Diceros bicornis minor: one gene and its partners. The protein of the gene in region 1 binds, or shares a complex with, the protein of each later gene. Links are inferred from orthologs where the notes say so. Each region holds a gene or a part of one and is shown on either strand. Other genes may lie near its edges. The genes, in order: AKAP13, NOD2 and MAPK14.

Region 1 (3,745 bases):
TTATCAGTATAGCTACCAGGTAATAGGCCCTACTTAATGTTAGGCCCACTATTAAGTACCTCCATAGTTTCACTTATTCCTAAGAATACTGCAAAGTATATTACTACACCTTACAGAGTAGGAAACCAAAGCTCTGAGAGGATAAGGGACCTGCTCAAGGCTACATAACTAGTCAATGTGGGGATCTGAACTCAAATTTACCTCGCTCCAAAGAATGCACATGCTTCTAAACTGTGCTACCTCCTCACTTCACAACAGAGGAATAGGCAGAGATGTGAGTGGGTTTATTCAGGTTTATTCAGATTCAGATTTATTCAGAAATGATTCTTAATCATTTCACCAAAAAACGGAGAAAATTTCTGAATCAGAACTAGTTTTCAAAATCCACAGTGCACTATTTAAACCTCACTTCTTTTCAACAATTAACAGGATAAGAGAAAGGTTAGGAATCCTTTTCGAAATAAACTAAATTTCATCACATTTCAGCAACTGAAGTGTTATTTTGGACAAGTCCCCAGGGTTAGTGGTTCTATGTGCACTACCACTAGCTAATACAAAGCACTTCACCCAACTCAAACACATACTGGACACCTGCACTGTGTTAAGACCCCTTCCTGGCAAAGAGGGTACAAAGCTAAATAAGAAATAAGGCCCATCACAGCCCTCAAGGAGTTAGACTAGAAGAGAAGTCCCTTTATACTACATATACAGTTACCGTTAGTCAAGCAAATAAATGAACTGTTAGAAATCCTAAAACAAAAGTATGTATAACATGCTATCACAGCTTAGAGAAAGAAAGCAACTGGCCTAGCTGTCACATTATGTTGTAAGTAATACTTGTTTATATTATGTCCCTCCCTGACAACCCCTTCCAACCTGTCAAGCTCCCTCCCCACAATCCACCCACACAGGCACACACAACCACACAACCAGGAAGGAAAGCCCTGAGAGCAAGCACTGTGACTCCTAAAAGTCACCTTGTTGCTGTAGTTCAAAAGTACAATGCTTATGCCATAAGGACATTCTTCTTGAGCTTCATCAGGTGAAGAAAGCTGGTTTTTCAAAGCAAAATGCAGCCAACCAAACCAGAAAAACCCAGGAAAGCTTCTCTACATTACTCACTTAGCATGAGAAATCAATCAAAGCAAATTGACACACAGTATTTCTCAAATTCTTCTTTTTAATTTAGCAGATGGCAAAGGAATATAACAACTGATATTAACACATTCTGGTCATTTTGTTCCACTACAAATGTGACAGACATTTAAGCTACTTCCATCTGGGAGATTTAAACAGAATTATTCTCACATCATAAGCCAAATGAAGCAAATTCAGTAGAATCGATGCACCCAAAACTTGATAAGCCTTGTACTTAATGCAGTCTGCAAACCCCCAAGAGACCACGAAGGAATACAAGAACGGTAACAGTGATTTATCTCAGCTCATCATAACTCCTTTACAAACTTGCAAAAAATGATCTTTCAAAAACGGTAGCATTTGTCCTGATCCGGGAAATCCAACGGTTTAGAAAAACAGTATAAGCTGCTGCTTCTGAAAATAAAAGGGGGGGGGGGGTTATAAGAAAAAAAGGCACACATTTTTTTCCTTTACTTCTATACGCCTGAGGCAATAAACTCCCAAAATAACTTCACCGAAGAGTGTAAAAGCTGAGAATGAACACCAAAATATTGCTCAATCCAACTTTCATTGTGAATTCCTGAGTGCACAGAAAGATCTAGAAACTTAATGTGATGGAGTCATTTTTCTGTAAAAACTGTATCCAAAAACCTGTCTATTCTTTCTTCAGATGAAAAAAAAATTTTGAGGGTTTTCCCCATATTCTTTTAAAACTCTTCACATACTAGTTGACTTTGCAAAAAAAAACAAAAGTGTCAGTAAGCCGTATTTACAAAAAGAATGTTTTGTTTGGTCTCCAAGTACGGCTGCACTTGAACTCAGTAGAGTTGAGCCCACTGCACGGCCCCGGAGCGGGTCCCCTCCGGCTGCACGTCTCCGACCCGCGCGGGTCCCCGGCCGCGCCCCCGAAGGCGGGCGCCCGGCGTGTTTACGGTCCCCGCCGGCCCCGGGGAGCCGCTCCCTCGCGTCCGCAACACTTGTTCGCGGACTCCGTCGGACGGGAGGGGCCCACGGAGGAGCCGACCAGGGAAGCCTGGGGCCGAGGGTTCAGGCCTCGCGTGGCCCGGGGGCGCCTGAAGGGGCACTCACGCCGTGCAAGGCGGCCGCGCCCCCCACCCCGGCGTGGCGGCGGCCCCCAAGTTGGGCTGCGGGAGCCGGGAGGCGCGCGGGGCCCGGGAGCAGACAATGCGTGAGGGTGGCCGCGGAGGGAGGAGGGGGCCGCAGAGCCGGCGGGCGCCCCGCGGCCGCCCATTCATCCCGGACCCCGCCCCCCTCCGGGCCCCCGCCCCGAGGAGCGGCCTTAGGGGGAAGGGCCCGTCCTCTCCGCCCGCGACCCCTCCTCAAACCACAAAACTTCCCCCAACTCCGCCAACTAAGTTGCGCTCTCACCGTGCGGCGCCCGGGGCTCCCCCGCGGGCTGAGCTGGAACAGCTCCGCACCTTCGCCGCAGAGAAAGACAATAGGCGGCCGCTACCCCGGCGGCGGCGGCGGCGGCGGCGGCGGCTCGTAGCTGCGGGAGCAGAAGCGAAGAGCGGGCACGGCGGTCTCGGCGAAGCCCAGGCGCTCCACCGCGGCTGCTCCGGCTCCGCGCTGGCCCTGCACACAGCCCCAGCCCGCCAGCGCATGCGCCGCAAGCAGCTCGGGGCTGGGCGGGGCACCTGGGGAGGGCGGTAACGCCTACGAGCCCTCCCATGAGTAAGCGCGGAGCCAAGGACCACGAGCTGGGATTGCACGGTAGAGCTGCCCATCAAGCTCCGTGAGACCAATGGGAAGGCAGCTGGGCGGAGCGTTCATGTTGCTAAGGAAGGTTGAGGTTGACCGCCGCCGCTGCTGCGCGGCGGCAAAGTGATCAAAGTGGGGTGGCTGGCAGAGGCTGCTCTGGGAAATGCCCACCCACGCTCTCCTTTCCGCCCTATGTCCGGAAACCGCCCTTCCTCTGTGTGCCGGTGCTTACCTGAGCTGTAGCACTTTATACCACACATACCGAAATCATTTACTCTTCTATTTCCCTCCGGTTGGAATCAGAAAGTGGAGTTTAGTCTTCACTGTGTCCAGGGCCTAGGAGAGTCATTGCTAGGTGTTCAACAAGTGTTTTAGATGGGTGGATGGGTGGGTCTATGGCGGCATCAGGATTGTGACAGTGCGTTCTGTGAACTTTTGGCTGCTTGATCGCCACAAAATCGTCCATTCTTCCAGTTGCAAAGGACTTCAGAACTCATCTGGTGGCTTTTGAGAAACAAAATGTGGTCCACTGGTACACGAAGAAACTTCTTCATTTTGATAATTGTGTGTTTATTTTAATGCGTATTAGGGGGAAAATGCCTATCATGTCAAATCATTACTTCGTTAGTTAGCCTAGAGCTAAAATATGCTTTCCTGTAAGTGGATCTGGTTCTCACATATATTTTCTTAATTCACCCTCACAGGTGAAAAAACCAAGGGCAAACATTCCTGGTGCTTCATGTGACATTATTTCCCAATCACCTCGTCATGCTGCTCACTCTCCTCCACATCACTCTAACCTGTCCTGATCAATATTTAAAAGGTGACACAAAGAGAGGCAACTCCTACATCCTAGTCCTGACTCTGCCACCAAGGAGCCCACTAT
Region 2 (3,745 bases), on another chromosome or scaffold:
CAGACTGTAATTTCTCCATTCTAAAAGTAAAGCCCTCTTTCTACCCCCACTTCCCCTTTCAAGTCCAACCTCATTTCTCTGCCCCCCTTCACAGCAGGACTCCTTGTCTGTTGTCTGTACTGCTGTCCTCAAGTCCTCCCCCATCCCCTCCAATGACGGTCCCCCGCGCCCCCCAGACTGCTTTCAGCGTGGTCACCAGTGACCTCCACGTTGCTCCGCTCTCAGCCCTCATTTTGCTTGCTCTGTCAAAGGCGGCTGTCATAATCGCTCCCTCCCTCCTCCTTGGAGCACTTTCTGTGTTGCCGTCCAGGACACCCCAGCCCTCTGATTTTACCTCCCCTCTCACCGGCTGCCCTTTCTGTCTCCTTGGCTGGTCCCTAACGCTGGGAGCACCGGAATCCCCTGGTTTGACCTCTTTTTTCCCTATCACTCCATCTCTAAGCGAGCCCACCTGCTCTTCCAGCTTTAAATGCCAGCTAAATGGTGAGGACGCCCAAAATTTGTTTCCTGCTCCACCCTCTCCACTAAACTTTTCCCAGCTGCCTACTGGATATCTTCACATGGATGCCTAATGGGCATCTCAAACTTAACAAGCACAAAACCAAACTCCGTATCTTCCCCTAAACAGCTCCCATTTCAGTCAATGGCAGCTCCAAACTTCTGGATGCTCGGGCCCCAGAAACTCCAAGTCATCCTCGACTCCACCTTTCTCTCGCACCCCAAATCCTATCCACCCTACCTTCAAAATATATCCCAAATCTGAAACCGAGATTATGTCGCCACCTCTACGCCATGGGTACAAGCCCCCATGGTCTCTCCCAGAATGACAACAGTGGGCCCCTCACCGGTCCCCCCTTTCTGCCCTCACACCCTACAGTCTCTTCTCCCGCCACAGCCAGATGCACCTGCTGACCCCTAAGTCAGAGCAGGTGACTTCTCTGCTCAACGCCCTCCAGCGGCTGCCCTTGCACTCAGAGTGAAAACCACAGCCCTCGCCGTGACCTTCAAGGCCCCAGGCACTGGACCCCCAGTTCCCCTCTTACCTCTCTGCACTCATTTACTACTAATGCCCCACTGGCTCCTCACCACCCTGCTCCAGCCACACTGGACTCCTCCTTGTTCCTGGAACAGCCAGACCTGCTCCTGCAGGGCATGCTCCTGCCGGGGCGCCTCTGCAGGTGCTGTTTCCTCTGCAGAGCTCTTCCCTCTGCACTGTCCCTTCCCCCCCAGAGCTCACCCCTCCCTCCTTCAAGGCTTTGCTCAGTGGTCACCACCTCAGGGAGCCCATCCCTGACTAGGCAATAGAAAATTGCAATACCCACCCCAACACCTCATCTCCCCGCCTGCTTTATTTTTCTCCATGGTACTTCCCCCCACCTGACATACCATGTATTTACTTATTTGCCTGCTGTCCCACTCTTTTCTAGAATAAGAACTCCGTGAGGGCAGGGAGCTGGGTCTGATTTTTTCATTGCGATATCCCCAGTGTCTCACCGACAAAGATTGTGTGAAAGAATAAAAGAATGAATTAACCGCAGGTTCCAGAAGGCAGCAGTGGAGCCAAGGGGTGGAATCAGCAAGGCACAGATTTCAGCTAAGTGAGACGAGAGCTGCGGGACGCTGAACAGCCACCTCATAAGGAACGAGCTCGCAGTCCCTGAGCAAATGCAGCAAAGGGATCCTGCACCGGGTTGGGGGGAGGTGGGCTGGCTGGGGTCCCTTCCAGCCTCAGATCCCAGGGTGCAAATTGGCAAAGATCTGAGTAACCAACAAACTTAGGGGCGGAGCAATTGGGACAGGAGAACAGAGGCAACAGGGATGTCACTCTGGTCTTCTTCACCACAGCGTCAGGGGACAGGTGACACGGCAGGCTTGTCCCCTCTATGGGACGAGGATCCTATGGCCGGGAACAGCCCATGGGGAGACCAAGGCCATTGGCAGGGAGAAGCTAAGGGCTCAGAAAGAGGGGAAGAAGCGAGAACAGACCCAGAGCCAGGGGTCAGCTGGGGGAGGCTCTCCTCAGGGAGATTTGGGGGCTTTTTCATTTGTTGGAAAGCAAGCAGACCAGACGGCTGCTCCCCAACATGAGGGGCAAAGGAGAGGGCAAAAGACACAGAGAATCCGATGCTGGGCCGCCCCTGGTGAGGGCCTGTCTGGGCCGGCATGGGGAATGAGCAGGGTCTCCACACACACCAAGGAGGGGGAGGAGACTCCCATGGGGTGACTCCCCTGAGGCACTCTCTCGCTTACACCCACCCATTCACAGACATGGGGAAACTGAGGCCGGGAGAGAGGAAGGGACTCGACAGAGAGTAGCCTCTGCTGAGACCTGAAGCCTGGCCTCCTCATTCCCAGGCCAGCCCGGAGCTCAGGACTTCTCATCAAGCAGGCTCTCCCTCCACAGCCCCTCATCCCCAAATCACAGCTCTCCCCAGACCTCAAAGGCTCCTGGGGTCTGGAAGCTCCGCCCACATCCCCAAGCCCCCTGATCCTCTGTAGCCACGGCCCGCCAGGGGGCTCCCCATCCTCGAGACGCCCCCTTTCCTTCTACCTTCCATCTAGTCCCCGGGACTCCCCCAAGGGGAAACCGAGGCAGCCCCTCCCTAAGCCTGGCGGCCGGGCCGGCTCCGAGGCCAGCTGTCCGAGTCCCGGGGCGGGAGCCTGGGCGCCCGCCGTGTCCCCGCCGTCCCCGCGCCGGCTCAGGGGCACTCACCGCGGCCGCCACTCCGGGCCCCGCTCCGCTCCGGCCCGGGCTGCGCGGGCTCTCGGTCCGCCCGCCGTGCCCCCGCCGCGGGCCGGCCCTGTCCCCGGGCACCCGCCCCCGCTGCCGCCCACCCCACCCCTGCGCGGCCGGCCACGCCCCTGCGGTCCCCGCGCCCCGCCCCCGGCGCCGCCCCCGGCCGCCCCGAGCGCTCCGAGCGCCGGCGGAGAGCGGCGGGAGGGGGCCGGGCGCCCGCGGGGCGGGGCGGCTGTGCTGTGACCCGCCAGGTGCGCCCCTCTCAACCCGAGAGGCCCTCAGGACAAGTCGGGAAGTCCTCGGGCATCTCAAGCCTTGACGTTGTGGAGTCCCAGAGCCGCCGCCTCTGGAGCGGGCTGGGTTACGTGGTGGGCGAGGGCATCACAGTTCCTCTTTCTTCCTTGTCCTTGGCACCCTTCCGTTGGAGTTCAGGAGCAGCGTCTCGGTTCAGCGCTCACAGCGTCTCTCACACTGCCGGTCCTCCCCGCGGCAATATCTAACCAGAACTGGACAGCACTGTTTCCTTTCCATTAAATTAAGTCTATTTTATTTTATGATTTCCTATTCTTCCGAGCACGCCACACTGGTTTTCTATCGAAGGTATTAATATAAACGTTCCTTTTAAAACACTTGTATTTGGAAAATTTTAAATGGAATTCAATTTAAAGGAAAATCCTGACATTAACAAAGAGCTTACTATGTGCCAGGCTGTACACACCTTAACTCAGTTAATCCTATCTGCAGGGTAGTGACTATCATTATCCTCAGTTTATAAAGAAACAAACTGAGACACGGACAAGTGTGTTCGCCTGCCCAAGTAGTGACAGCAGAGCCAAGATTTGCCCCCAGGCGCCTGGCTCCAAAGGTTGTGCTCTAACCACTACCCCACACTGCCTCCAGATAAATACCTGCAGGGGGGTGCACAGTCGGCTGAGGTTGAAGGTTGAATGCTGCGTTCCAAGGATGGACACTACCCCAGGGAAATCCTGGATGGTGTACAGCTCTGTC
Region 3 (3,745 bases), on another chromosome or scaffold:
CTTTACAGCCACATTTTTGCTGTCACTTCCTCCTTCAGCTTCTACTACTTCTTAGAAAGCTCCCTAACATGCAGGCTGGCTTGGAACATTTTCAAGCAGCGTGTTTTCATAGGCATGAGAATCAGGGTAAGTCACATGGAATCCAAAAAAAAAAGCTTTCCACGAATCGCCTATGACCCTGGTTTGGAGTTTTATTTATTTTTTCCTTGAGGAGAACTGAGGATCCTGCATCACCTCCTAAATTGAGATCATGGTCATTGTTCATAATTTGTTCAGCAAATATTTATGGAACACCTTTTATGTTCTAGACACTGTGCTAGATGCTGGGACAAGATAGGCAAAGTCTAAGCACTCCAAGGAATGTATAACACAAAAGAGAATGACCATGGGAAGTGATAAGGAGTGTCCTGGCTTGGACTTAGTTATTTCTAAGGGAAATAACTAAGAGACTAAGATAGGGTCCAATTCTTCTGCTTATTGCAACAAGCTTCAGCATAGGAATAGGTTGGTAACAGTGTGGGTAGGTATGGGGTTATAACACCTTGCCCATTCACATTTATTATCTTGTTGAGCTTTACAAATGACCCTATTAGGTGGGAGTGTAAGGCAGGAATTCTCTTTTGCATCAACTGGAAGTGAGGTCTAAGAAAGGTCAATTGACTTGCCTAATGTGACACTGCCAGAAGACCACTCTCTGCCCAGTTCTTCTTCCTCTGAGAGGCATGAATCAAATGCTTAAAATCCTCGTCACTGGAAGCTCTTCAGGGCAGAAGTCAGTTTCAAACCCTCAGGGTAATGGTTTTAAAAACGCTTCTCAAAGGGAGATGCCAGAGACTTTCCTGAATCAGAATTACCTGGAGCCTATTGTAAAAATGCTCATTCTTGGTACCCGTCAGGGACCTATCCAATTAGATTCCCTGTGGGTCCTGGGAATCTGCATTTTTAAACCCCCAAGGTGATTCTTCTGCACATAAAAGCTTGAGAACTACTAGGAGAGTTTGGGTGGAAAACCTCAGCCTTAATGCAGAGCTAATATTTGCTTTGGGGACAGATTTTTGTGAGAACTTCGAACTAAGCCATATGTCCTTGAGCGGATGGAATGCAACGGCTTTCGGGCCGAAAATCTTTCTCTTTTATGTGCAAGTACTTCTTGGAAATTGAGGGTTCCGCTGAGCAGTCGCTCGGCTGCTGGTGGCTACCCAAAGTTCAAAGATCGTTTGGCTCTTTTCCCGACACCCTATTTGTCACTGTCGCTTTCCACCACGGGGCCAGGCATTTGCCCCACCGACCACTGTGCGGCGCACGCGGCATGTGTTGCCTGGGGCACCCCTCTTTCCCGGGTCCGCCTTCGCGCCTTTAAGAACAGTCTCTGGGAGTTCCTCCCTCTGGTTGCCAGCTGTTGCTCTCTTCTCGCGAGAACTGCTCCTCCCGTCCTCTCCCCTCATCAACCCCCTCCCATGGGCAGGTTCCATATTGGGTAAAATCTCGGCTCGCGGAGAGTCCCGGGAGCTGTTCTCGCGAGAGTACGGCGGGAGGCTCCTGTTCGCTGGCTTTGGAACGGCGACCACTGGAACCTCCCCGGGCGCTGCAGCTGGAGCGGTAGTCCTGCGGCGCAGCCAGAGTCGGCCTGGTCGGGGAGAGGGTGCAGGGAGAGCGTGGCGGGCGCAGCCTTGAGCCCCGGAGCGCGCCTCTGCCCTTAGCAGGACTCGCTCCTGTGGCTGAGGCGCGTCCAGGCGCTGCGGTGACAGCGGCCGCGCGCGCGGGAGTCTGCGGGGTCGCAGCAGCCGCACCTGCGCGTGCGGCCGGCGCGGGGTCCCCGCCCGGCCGGGCGGGCGACGAGGGCCGGGAGCGGGTGCGGGCGCAGGCGGGTCCCCGCTGGGCCACCTCCTCGCCCCGCGGCCGCCGCTGGAAGATGTCTCAGGAGAGGCCCACGTTCTACCGGCAGGAGCTGAACAAGACAATTTGGGAGGTGCCCGAGCGTTACCAGAACCTGTCCCCGGTGGGCTCCGGCGCTTATGGCTCCGTGTGGTGAGTGTCACCGGGCTGGGGCCGCGGTGGGCTGGGTGGCCCCTCATGTCCGAGAGCCAGGCCTGCTCCCACGGCTCGGCGATGCACCAAGCGGCAGGAATTTTCCTTGGGGGAGGCCATCGATACCCCTTCGACCCTTGTCCTGCACGCCCTGTACGCCTTGCACCCCTCACCCTGCACGCCCGGGTAGGTGGTCGACCGTGTGCAGGACGCGGATCCGCGGTGGGTGGTGGTGCTGGAGCTCGGCCCTGGCTCGCACCCTGTGCGTTCCCCTCTTGGGGGGTTGCTGCTCCGGGGACAGGCGCCGGCGGGGGCCTCTCTGCGGGGTGTGTCTGCTGGCGCCGAGCACAAGGACCCTCCCGGAGGACTCCGGGTGCCGGAGCCCGCCCTCTGCGCAGACAAGCCCGGGAGCTGCCGGGAGACGCAGAAGGGCAAAGCCCGACCGGGAGACTGCGGTCATCCCAACGAAAATGACGACGAAGGGCGTTCTCTCCGGGCCCTTTTGCAGACCTCTGTCGAAATCCCATTTTCAGAAGCGTTCTTTTTGAATTCGCAGCGACCCAGAGAGCTTAAAATACCGACTTTATCTCGGGGAGCGCGGTGCCAGCTTGAGTGGTGTGTTTCCGATTCGGTTGAAAGCGTATTTCCTTTCCGCAGAGGGGGGGTGGGTGGCGGTGCCTGCAGGAACGCTGCGCTCGAGAAACTGGCGGCCTCGCTGATTAGTCACAGACCACCGCTCATTTCAGTATTGTTGGACACAACAGTTTTCTCATTTGAGCAAGTGAGATTCAGATCCGTTGGACGCTCTCAAGATCAAAAAGTTGTTAACAATGCTGGGAGGTATTGTAAATATTTTTTAATTGCGATAATTCTTGTGAGTACTGTGTTTTTAGACTCCCTTAGAGAGTTTGCAGGGAACTTATCTATCTTTATAGCCTGAGTACGCGATGGTTTTAATAAGGATATAGAATATATAGGAAAGGAAGGAAGAGGCATTTTTCACCTGTAATTCACACTGTGGGTTTTAAAATAAATTGATACCATAAGATTTCCCGACCTGAAATATTTCACTAACTTCTCTGACTTTCAAGGTTTTATGCACTGTATTTTAGATTTACTATAATTTGAGAGCTTTGAAACTAATTCGTGTAATTCGTGTACGTGCGTCGTTTGAAAAAGGGCCTATAAAATTACTTTTTGTTTCACAACAAATTCCAGGCTTTTGGACGTGTTAATCTTTAAATGGAATTCCTGTGTTTCTTAAAGTCATATCACGAATTTCCTGTTTGGTAGAATCTTCTGGGTAATTGAGATTGTGCAATTGCGTCCAGCAACAGATCATATTGCATTTTCTAGTTCAAGCTGCTTGAGTTATGTTGTTGATGGTACCCTGCTTGATATCTTTTTCCCATTTTTATAGTATGGCAGTTTGCATTTTAAGGGAATTTGCAGCATTTTTATATATATATGTATGTTATTGATTTGCTAATTTTCAGAGATATATTTGGATCATTGCTCCTTTAATAGCTTATTAGTTTGCCTCCAGTTTTCATTCTTGAATTGACATATTAATATCTGTAGTACCAAGTTTTTCTTTCCAATGAAATTTAAATTTTAATGGAGTGATACGGCAGAATAGCTCAACTATGAGGAGTTTAGTGTACTTGCTTGCAAGGTTGCAAGAACTGCTTGCAAGGTTTCCTAACTGTTGGTGTGA

The links.
Region 2: AKAP13 (region 1) and NOD2 share a complex: the UniProt entries of both Homo sapiens proteins name them as parts of the signaling complex. The link is inferred for Diceros bicornis minor from reciprocal best matches to the Homo sapiens genes AKAP13 and NOD2.
Region 3: AKAP13 (region 1) and MAPK14 share a complex: the UniProt entries of both Homo sapiens proteins name them as parts of the signaling complex. The link is inferred for Diceros bicornis minor from reciprocal best matches to the Homo sapiens genes AKAP13 and MAPK14.

Annotation. Positions count from the first base shown.
Region 1 is NC_080744.1:89,553,735-89,557,479, reverse strand, and holds the start of AKAP13 (A-kinase anchor protein 13), read right to left. Parts: upstream 2,727-3,745; 5' UTR 2,527-2,726; intron 1-2,526. UniProt on the Homo sapiens protein: Scaffold protein that plays an important role in assembling signaling complexes downstream of several types of G protein-coupled receptors.
Region 2 is NC_080771.1:4,262,538-4,266,282, reverse strand, and holds the start of NOD2 (nucleotide-binding oligomerization domain-containing protein 2), read right to left. Parts: upstream 2,764-3,745; 5' UTR 2,714-2,763; intron 1-2,713. UniProt on the Homo sapiens protein: Pattern recognition receptor (PRR) that detects bacterial peptidoglycan fragments and other danger signals and plays an important role in gastrointestinal immunity.
Region 3 is NC_080753.1:28,813,945-28,817,689, reverse strand, and holds the start of MAPK14 (mitogen-activated protein kinase 14), read left to right. Parts: upstream 1-1,541; 5' UTR 1,542-1,912; coding exon 1,913-2,028; intron 2,029-3,745. UniProt on the Homo sapiens protein: Serine/threonine kinase which acts as an essential component of the MAP kinase signal transduction pathway.